Chlamydomonas reinhardtii: one gene and its partner. The protein of the gene in region 1 purifies or fractionates together with the protein of each later gene. This does not show direct contact. Links are inferred from orthologs where the notes say so. Each region holds a gene or a part of one and is shown on either strand. Other genes may lie near its edges. The genes, in order: CHLRE_12g488850v5 and CHLRE_16g685277v5.

Evidence for each region.
Region 2: the proteins of CHLRE_12g488850v5 (region 1) and CHLRE_16g685277v5 purify together in Arabidopsis thaliana (affinity purification with mass spectrometry; 4 studies listed by BioGRID, with this or other methods). This does not show direct contact. The link is inferred for Chlamydomonas reinhardtii from reciprocal best matches to the Arabidopsis thaliana genes alpha-ADR and AT5G46630.

Annotation. Positions count from the first base shown.
Region 1 is NC_057015.1:1,312,483-1,317,060, reverse strand, and holds the start of CHLRE_12g488850v5 (uncharacterized protein), read left to right. Parts: upstream 1-1,671; 5' UTR 1,672-1,814; coding exon 1,815-1,959; intron 1,960-2,063; coding exon 2,064-2,221; intron 2,222-2,346; coding exon 2,347-2,446; intron 2,447-2,630; coding exon 2,631-2,683; intron 2,684-2,829; coding exon 2,830-3,037; intron 3,038-3,173; coding exon 3,174-3,289; intron 3,290-3,469; coding exon 3,470-3,566; intron 3,567-3,721; coding exon 3,722-3,921; intron 3,922-4,196; coding exon 4,197-4,310; intron 4,311-4,578. UniProt on the Arabidopsis thaliana protein: Subunit of the adaptor protein complex 2 (AP-2). Adaptor protein complexes function in protein transport via transport vesicles in different membrane traffic pathways.
Region 2 is NC_057019.1:7,381,034-7,385,543, reverse strand, and holds the start of CHLRE_16g685277v5 (uncharacterized protein), read left to right. Parts: upstream 1-1,674; 5' UTR 1,675-1,871; coding exon 1,872-1,957; intron 1,958-2,190; coding exon 2,191-2,383; intron 2,384-2,683; coding exon 2,684-2,750; intron 2,751-2,967; coding exon 2,968-3,017; intron 3,018-3,178; coding exon 3,179-3,271; intron 3,272-3,524; coding exon 3,525-3,675; intron 3,676-3,922; coding exon 3,923-4,020; intron 4,021-4,272; coding exon 4,273-4,367; intron 4,368-4,510. Other genes in the region: CHLRE_16g685389v5 (uncharacterized protein), read left to right, coding at 1-334. UniProt on the Arabidopsis thaliana protein: Subunit of the adaptor protein complex 2 (AP-2). Adaptor protein complexes function in protein transport via transport vesicles in different membrane traffic pathways.

The DNA of each region.
Region 1 (4,578 bases):
AGAGAGAGAGAGACAACGGTTTCCATGGTTATTCTGCCAGATCACGTGAATCGTGTATCTGGTATAACCAACGACAGGGCTCTCAAACGAGGGCTGCCGTGACCTGGCGTTTCCCCGGCAGAGCGCAAACAGCTCTGGAGTCCACAGGGTAACGCACTCCGACCCTTCACCGCGCCAGTAATCCTTGCGGAATTACTACCGGTGTGTGTGTGTGTGTGTGTGTGTGTGTGTGTGCGTGTGTGTGTGTGTGTGTGTGTGTGTGTGTGTGTGTGTGTGTGTGTGTGTGTGTGTGTGTGTGTGTGTGTGTGTGTGTGTGTGTGTGTGTGTGTGTGTGTGTGTGTGTGCGCGCGTCATTGAAATGCGTAAATGCGAATGCGAATGCGTGTTGCGGGCTGGCCGGGCGCCCTGAGCGTGAGGAAGGCGCGTCAGCAACTCACCGCCTGCCAGCAAGACGCAACAATTTATCGATGTCTCAGAACAGCAACTCCGACGTTACACCAGCTGCGCGCTCATACCTTGACGGCTTGACGGCGCGTATTGAATGTGAAGGTGTTGTATGACAGCCGGCAACAATGATGCCCCAGGGAGTGTTCCGCAGGTTGTGTACCGGATGTGGCGTACAACTACTGCGCTCCGCCCATAATTATCCCCTTCTGGACTGCACAGTCGCTTCGCTCGAGAGCACACTTGTCGTGACTTCCGTGGCAGTGGGGTGACCAGCCCACGTCGCGCTTACCCCCGCCCCCAGGGTATCGCCATAGCTAATTCTTATGAGCCAACTTCTTGACCAGACTCTCATTACTAGCCAAACAGGCTTTCAGCCGAGACCTCCCGTACGGGACTACGCCAACGTGCCTCTTACCCTGTCCCATCGCACCACTGCGCATTCTACGCGGCCTGCTTATCCTCACTCGCCCTTTGCCGCCTGTACAGTACCAACCGGTATCCGCCGCATGCACATGCCTACCTATCAACTTGTTGCAGCTGTGTGTCTATCTCTCCAACCCGGGCCTGCCCGAGCCCACGGCCCCCCGACACACGGCCGCCGCAGCCCACCAGTAGAAGGACTTGCGAGGGCATCTGAGCACCAACAGCACCCGCAAACGACGCAACCTATCTGCTGTGCATTTGTGCTCCAGTATGAGGGGTTCTAGCATTCTTTGGCCCCTGCTCAATCCTAGATCTTGGTGGCTGCAAGCTAAATGGTTGAGAGCTGAGTGGCTGTCTCGCTGAGACCTCGCCGGCAAGAGTGCACCGGCACCCATGCTCGCCGGTGAAAGATTGTGGACTTTGAAGGCAGGGTCTTTCTAGGGGCACCACCATAGATTGGAGGCAGTCTCTTGCGAAAGAAGAATCGGGCGCATGCCGGGGTGCAGTCTGACACAGCTGCCCATGTGTACAGTAAGGCCGATGGGGCCGATGGGGAGCAGGGGTCATGGCGAGCACTGGTGCGCTGTTGCCCGAGACTCGAAGTCGAAGCTGCAACCGGCACTCCCTCCCAAGCTTCTTCACGCGCATGAGTCACAGCGGGTGCTCGATCCGGATGTCAATGTGTCACGCGCAAAGGGCGGCGTCAAAAAAATGCCATTGTGTTTGCCCCCTTCGGTTAATGGCTGGCCCACATGGCCCTCGATGGCGGTCCATTCGGCAGCCCTTTTCAGTGTCTCCTCCGTCTGCTGCTTGATAAATACGTAGCAATTGCTGCAAGTAGTACCAGGGCCTTGCGACTGAAGACTCCACCGAACTTGCTGGCTTTATTGAACTACCGTTGTTGGCCTTCAGCATTACGTAGAAGACATTGAAAACAAACCAAAATGTCGAAGACTGCGTATATGCGCGGTCTGCAGGTGTTTATATCAGATATCAGGGCTTGCCAGAACAAGGAGCAGGAGCAGCGGCGCGTGGAGAAGGAGCTAGCAAAGATCAGGGCAAAATTTGGCGAGGACAAGAGCTTAAGTGGTGGGTTGGCAGGGAAGATCCTGTTGCACAAAGGATTGGTCCCTTCGGCCAGCTTCTCGGGGCTGTTCCGGCGCCCGAGATTCATGTTCGCCCCGTTTGCGCAGGCTATGACCGGCGAAAGTACATCTGGAAGCTCCTGTATATCTATATGCTGGGCTTTGACATTGACTTCGGTCACAAGCAGGCGTGTGACTTAATTCCAATGCCGAAGTACTCAGACAAACAAGTCGGGTACATGGCCTGCTCGCTCCTGCTGCAAGAGGTCAGTGGCACTCGCCTGCTCGTGAATCGCGCCTGCCCGGCTCCCGCGCCCTGCACATGCCCGCAGCAGCGGCAACATGTGTTTCAATTTATGGCTAGGCGCTCACCGCTAGCGCGTACTCGCAGAACGACGAGTTCCTGCGCTTGGCCATCAACGCCATCCACTTGGACCTGACCAGCCGGAACGAGGCGTTCCAGGCGCTGGCGCTGAGCTTCGTGGGCAACAGTAAGTCGCATGGACGGCTGAGAAGGGCAAATGATTATGCATGTCACGGTCGCTGAGTATACAAGGGTTGCAGGGAAAGGGCTGGGGAAAGGCGGAGTGAAGCAGGGGCGTCACGGGTGGTGTGGCACGGGGTCGTCCGAAATGCAGGGCCGATAACGATTGCCTGTGTCCATGCGCCGCATAGTTGGTGGCCAGGAGATGGCGGAGGCACTGACGCTGGACGTCATCAAGCTCCTGGTGAGCGCGTGCCGTGTTCCCTACTGCTGTAGGCCGCCCCAGATGACCTCGGCACTATTTGGCTTGTGTTAGTATGTTTGTCAGTATTGCACGTATGACGCAAGGAATGCATCGACCGGCTGCCATTCCCACGCACCCAACCGCAGACGAGCGGCGCCTCGCGGCCGCTCATCAAGAAGCGCGCGTCGCTGTGCCTGCTGCGCATGCTGCGCAAGACGCCGGCGGACGCGCCGCTGGTGGTGGCGGCGGACACGTTTAGCCCGACCATGGCGGCGCTACTGGAGGAACGGGACCTGGGCCTGCTGCTGTGCTCGGTGACGCTGCTGCACGGCTTGGTGGCGCGCTCGGGCACAGGTGGGGAAGGGGGGAGGGAGACGCACTTGGGGGATGCAGGGATAGCGCAGCGACACCATCATGTGGCGCTTCGGTGCACCTTTGTGCGGAGCACTGACATGCAACGTGTGGTTCCTGGCTGCGGGCCCCACCATAGGCGGCTACGAGACGTGCCAGGGCCGTGTCATCAAGATCCTGGAGCGCCTGGTGCGCGAGCGGGAGCGCATCCCGCCCGAGTACTTGTACTACGGTATCCCCTCGCCCTGGCTGCAGGTGGGCCATCACAGGGTGGGGTGCTGGTGTTTCTGGTGCTGTGGGCTGTGGCAATCAGATGCTGCAGGAATTGGCGCAGGACTGCAGGAGGCAGGGACGGCATCCAACAAGGCATAGATGTGTCATGGCATACCACCAACCGCTGCTCATGTGCCGGTGTCGCCTGTCGTTTGTTCGCAGGCCCGCTGCCTGCGCGCGCTGCAGCTGTTTCCGCCGCCGGACAGCGCCACGGAGCGCAAGGCGCTGCACGACGTGCTGCAGAACATCATCGCCACGAGTGAGTCAGGAGGACGACGGGATTCCCAGACAATCATTGCCGTGTTTGGGGCGGGGCGTTAGCCGGATAGGAGACAACAACAGCGCGAAGCGCTGCCGCCCTAGCGAACGCGGGCTCAAAGCCGCATGCTTGTGCCACATACCTCTGCTGCACAGCGAGCGCTGAGGCTGCCAAGAACGCCAACCCCAACAAGACCAATGCGCTGAACGCGATCCTGTTTGAGGCGCTGGCTGTGGCCCTGCACCACGCCTCCGCCACCAACAACGCCATGGCCGCCACTGGCCCCGACGCCGCCAACGACCGCGCTACGCTGGGCTCGTGCCTATCGCTCATGGGCCGCTACCTGGCTGGCAAGGTGCGGGGCGTGGAGGCGGGGGAACCGAAACACGAACCAAGTAAAGCGGCAGGATGGGGACTTATCACGACTCACAGCGAATCGCAACTTAGCTGGACGGGCGAGAGATTTCGGCTCCTGCAGAGGTCCTGAGAGCTGGCACACTCCCTGACTCGCATGTGGCCGGACACGCAACTGTGGCAGTATTGCATCTCCGAGTGGCGTGCGAATGGGCTGCGTGCGCTTCACCCATGACTCTCCCCATCTGCCGGTGTGTGCTGTGTGCTCCGCCGCAGGACCCCAACGCCAAGTACCTGGCGCTGGACTCTCTGGCGCGGCTGGCGGGTGCCATGCCGGAGGTGCTGGAGGGCGTGCGCCACCACCAGGCCACTGTCATGGCCAGCCTAAAGGTGGGAGGGGGTGGGGGCGCCGGAGGGGGCAGGGGTGCGGGACGAGGGGGAGGCAATATACCTGTGCGCAAGGTGTAACGGCGGTTGGAGCGTCTGTCTATGCGCAAAGCAGGCACGGGATGCACCGGGGAGGGAAGGGATGCAGCAGGAAGTAGGAATGGCGGCCTTGGGAGGTGACTCCAGAGGTCATTTCGACGCGCTTTACGCCATGGTGTGATGGCTGGAATATTGCAGTCATTTGGCACTTGCCAACGACACACGCTGCACC
Region 2 (4,510 bases), on another chromosome or scaffold:
CCGCAGCTCCAGTGGCTCGGGTGATGAGGACATCGGCGGCGCTGGCGGAACGGGCGATGCGGAAGCCGGCAGCGCCGGCGGCGCCGGCCTCCGCGCCGTCCGCTGGGGCAAGAGCGCCGCCGGGGGTGACGGCGCCTGTGCCATGGAAGCGGATTTGTCGGTGCAAAGCAGGCAGGCGGCGATGGCGGCTGCGGCAGCGGATGGCGGCGCGGGGCCTGAGGACCAACAGGCGACGGCGGGCGGCGGCGGCGGGGCGGCGGGTGCGGGTGCGGCTCCGAAGGGCCCACTGGCCAAGATGCGTGCCTACTTCCGCAAGAAGCTGGACGTCATGTGAGCAGGCTGTAACTGTGATGTGTAGTGTGGTGATGATGTGGCTGGGGCCTGGGGCCTGGGGAGGTGGGAGCCTGCCGGATGCATGCTACGCCCGTGCTCGTGAAATCAAGTGATGGGCCGTCGTGGGATTGAGCGGTGGCGGAATGGTAGCAGTAGTGGCCATATGGGCTCATGGAGGGGTTGTGTGAGAGTTACCAAGACGGACGGCGCCAGGGAGCGTGTGTGTTGGAGGGGGGGTTTTCATGTGCCCGAGCCCAATAGGTAACAGTAGTGGAATGACCATTGGTTATGAGGCGTCACCCAGGTGGAGTCGTGAAGGCTTCGCAGCGACTCACGAGAACGTATGCATGTTGGGGGGTCGGGAGCCACACCACTCGGGTGTTGTGTCATGGAAGGGCTTGATCCCGCACAGAGCGGAAAGCAGGCAGACGGCAGTTGGATGGGGTTGCCGTCAATGTGCACCCCTGTAGGTGCCTTACTTGCCGCGAATAAGGCGTAGGCTTGAACGGTGCTAGCCAGAGCCGCGAGCCGTGGGGCTGCATGTGCAAGTTGGTGCGCGGTTCACGCTTGCGCTGGACCCTGGACCGCAGGATGTTGAACATTTTCAGGGTACCGATGCCGGTGTAGTGCCGACGCGTGCCGTGCATTTTGGAGTCTAAAGCTGGCCTTATGAGTTGCACGGCTAGGTCAAGGTGGCAGGACTTGAAGGCGCAAGCAGCGGGGTGGGTGTATGGATGAAGGGCTGTACCTGGAGGCCCGTTCGTTCGTGTGTAAGACAAGCGCTAGGCGAGGAACACGGCTCTACGTCTCAAGGGAAACCGGAAGAATGGGCTGCGCCCACGCCACGTTGGCGCAAGGTTTGAGGCCGAAGGTTTCAATTCCCGGACATTGCCGTCGGTTCGTACAGGCACCGCCCGCCGCGTGTCAGCCGCGTCCCGTCCAGCCGCGAGTGCCCGGGTATTTTGGGGTGGCCAGCAGCAGCGTGGCTGGAAAGCACAGCCCACATTCACGTACCTTACAAATGTCCAGTCCAAACTGCGTTGTTTGCCCCAGCATTGAGGTTGGTGCCGACGCATGCCCGCACGCACGCACGGGCAGAGGTGTTTTGGGGGGGGGGGCTTCGCGCCCTTGAATTGCTGCGCTCGGCGGGCTCAGCCCAAATACTGCAAGCACACGGGCTTATGACTGATTGCCGATGCCGCCGGACGGCTCCGGGCTCCCTCGCGCCTGAGTGCCTGACGCCTCCGCAGGGCTGTGCATGCACCTGCATGCAAGTGTGCATGCCGGTGCCGTGGCACAACACCCTTCGGTCTTCAGACTAATGTGCAGCCCTGGCATACTTAAACCACCATACTTCCTCGCTGACATCGCAGACATCACTTAACCGAGCGTTTGCACCTTCACGCCTGTGCAACTTCTGCCCGAGCTACCTGTTTTAAGCAAAGGTGCAGGTGACATGTCTGCCCTACACCCTTGACATTCTTCTTGCTTAGGCTAGCTTACGTCTAGGAACAGCTGAGCGGGAGAGCGGCAGAAGAATGGCTTGTTCAGCGTGCTCTGCCATCTACTTCCTCAACCTCCGGGGCGACATCTTGCTTGAGCGAAAGTACAAGGATGATGTAGAGTAAGTAGCAGAACGATTTCGGTACCATGGGGCCCAAGCGGAGAGAAACGGATGTTGAGTTTCCCTCCAGCGCGGGGAGGGCAGTTTGGGGGCCTGGAGCCCTGATGCTGCGAGCAAATGCATTTGTGGACATGATGTAACGCGTGGTGGCCGGGTAGTGGCGTCTGACTGGCCACCGCTGCTGCCAGTGGGTCTCAAAGCACCCTTTCAACGATCGGAACCCTGTGCCACAGCCGGGAGATCGCGGAGAGCTTCCGCGACCGCATCTTGAATGCACAGCATCAATCCGTCAACCCAGGCCAGTCTGGACCGATCCGGACGCTTGGCTCGGTCACGTTCATGTACCTGCGCCACTCGGACATCTATGTCTTGATGCTCACTCGGAGTAACGGCAACGCTATGCTGTCGTTCCGCTTCATGACCTCGGTAGGTGGCCGGAGAAGGGGTCGTGGGAGCCAGGGAAAGGCGTCCTGGGAGCCAGGGGAGAGCTGTTTCCTCTTGCCGGAGGTAGGGGTGAGCTGCGTGTAGCTGGGGACCGTATGGCGGTGCCAGCACAAAGTAGCCTGCCTCCTGTTGGCATTGCAGCGTGGATTGCAGACCCCCGGTTATTGTTAATACCAGAGACAGTGCGGGGGCAATCAGCGGGGCATTGCAGAGATAGGAGACACCTCTCTGCACGTGGCTCACGGCACCTGACCCCACGCGCTCCGCCTCTCCGCTGCACAGCTGGTGTCGCTGTTCCAATCCTACTTCGAGGGCGACCTCAATGAGTCGTCCATCCGCTCCAACTTCGGTGAGGGCTGAAACAGACTGGATGAGCAACTTGCACATGCTGTTTCTAGAGCTTGCGGCCTCGCCGAACCGCGCCTGGGGAATGTGGGTCAGGCGGTACCACCGTGCGGTACCACCGACTGCACATGGTCATGTCCACCGCTCTGCCGCGCCCTGACCAATGTGACCCACCGCTCCGTCTCACTCCTCGCAACCTGCATGGCACCCCGCCCCTGCAGTGCTCATGTACGAGCTGCTCGACGAGGTGATGGACTACGGGCTCCCGCAGGTGCGTGCTGGGGGGCACATGGGCACGCCGCGGGCTCCTGTGGGGGTTGATGTGGCGAGAGCCCGGGCAAAGCTGCCTGCTGCTGGCGGGTAACGTGCCTGACGTGCCCGCGCTCTCTGCTGATGTTGTTCCACTGGCCGTGGACCCCGGACGCTGCGCAGATGTCGGATCCGGCCATCCTCAAAACGCTCATCCTCCAAAAGGGCTACAAGTCGGAAGGCGGGCTGCTCGGGACATCAGCGTCGGAGGCGGCGGTGAGCCGCTGGCGCGCGCATGGGCTTCTAGAGGCGTTGGGGTGGCGATATGTGCTGTTAGTCCGCAGGCGCCAGGGCGTCACGTTATGGCCCGCAACATAGCAAGCTGCAAAGCGCTGTGCTGGGCAAATGAAGGCAGGCGTTCATAGGCGCTGCGGGCGAGGAGCGAGGGGCACTGTCGAGGGGGGGAGCGGCAAGCAGCTCATTGGGGTTCTGACGGGGAAGTACGGTGTGTATGTACGTGCCGCCTCAGGCGAAGAAGGCCAAGGAGGCAGCAGCGGCGGCCAACGCCACGCTGGCGGTGACTGGCGCGGTGGGCTGGCGGCGGGAGGGCATCAAGTACAAGCGCAACGAGATCTTCCTGGACATCGTGGAGCAGGTCAACGTGCTCATGAGCCAGAACGGTGGGGCCGCGGGAGGCGGCAGCCTCAGAGGGATGTGGTGGGCCACAGGGGCGCACGGAGGGCGGGAGCTGCGCGGGAGCAGGGCCAGGTCACTGGGGTCGACTACAGCGGGATGAACTGACGAGTACGATGGTATGAGTGCCGGGTCACTTGCGGAGGGGGCGTACACGGCGCGGGGCAAGTGTGCGGTCAGCAATGCTCCGTAACGTCTCACGGTAACGCCCCCGTCATCATCCTACCGCCACAGGCACGGTGCTGCGCAATGATGTGGTCGGGCGCATCCAGATGAAGTGCTTCCTGTCGGACATGCCCGAGCTGCGGCTGGGGCTCAACGACCAGATGCAGGTGCGTGCAAGCGTGCACGCCACGTGTCAATGTGGGAGGGAGTCAGCAGGCGGGAGTGGTTGGGTACTTGAGTTAGGCAGGGAGGCGTCGTGCGGCGTGCTTGACAGTAGTGGGGGTCTGGGGAACTTACGGCAACGGCACCGCACCCCAGCATCTGTGGACTGCATAGAAGAGGCAGATGCTTCGACCGTATAGCGCTCATCAGGGCTGCATGGGTCTGATCTGTCTCTGTGCCGTGTGTCGGTGCTGCAGGACGCGACCTTCCACCAGTGCGTCAACCTGGGCGCCTACGAGTCGCAAAAGGTGGTCACGTTCGTGCCGCCCGACGGCGAGTTCGAGCTCATGCGGTGAGGCGGGCGGTGTGGCACCGGGGCAGAAGTGTTGCTGGTTCTGCCGTGCGTGGGGCCAGAGCCACGCACGGCAGAAGAGGCCGGGCACAACGTTAGCTTCGTAACGGATCCGCAGCGCGTTACACTGCGAGCAAATGGCA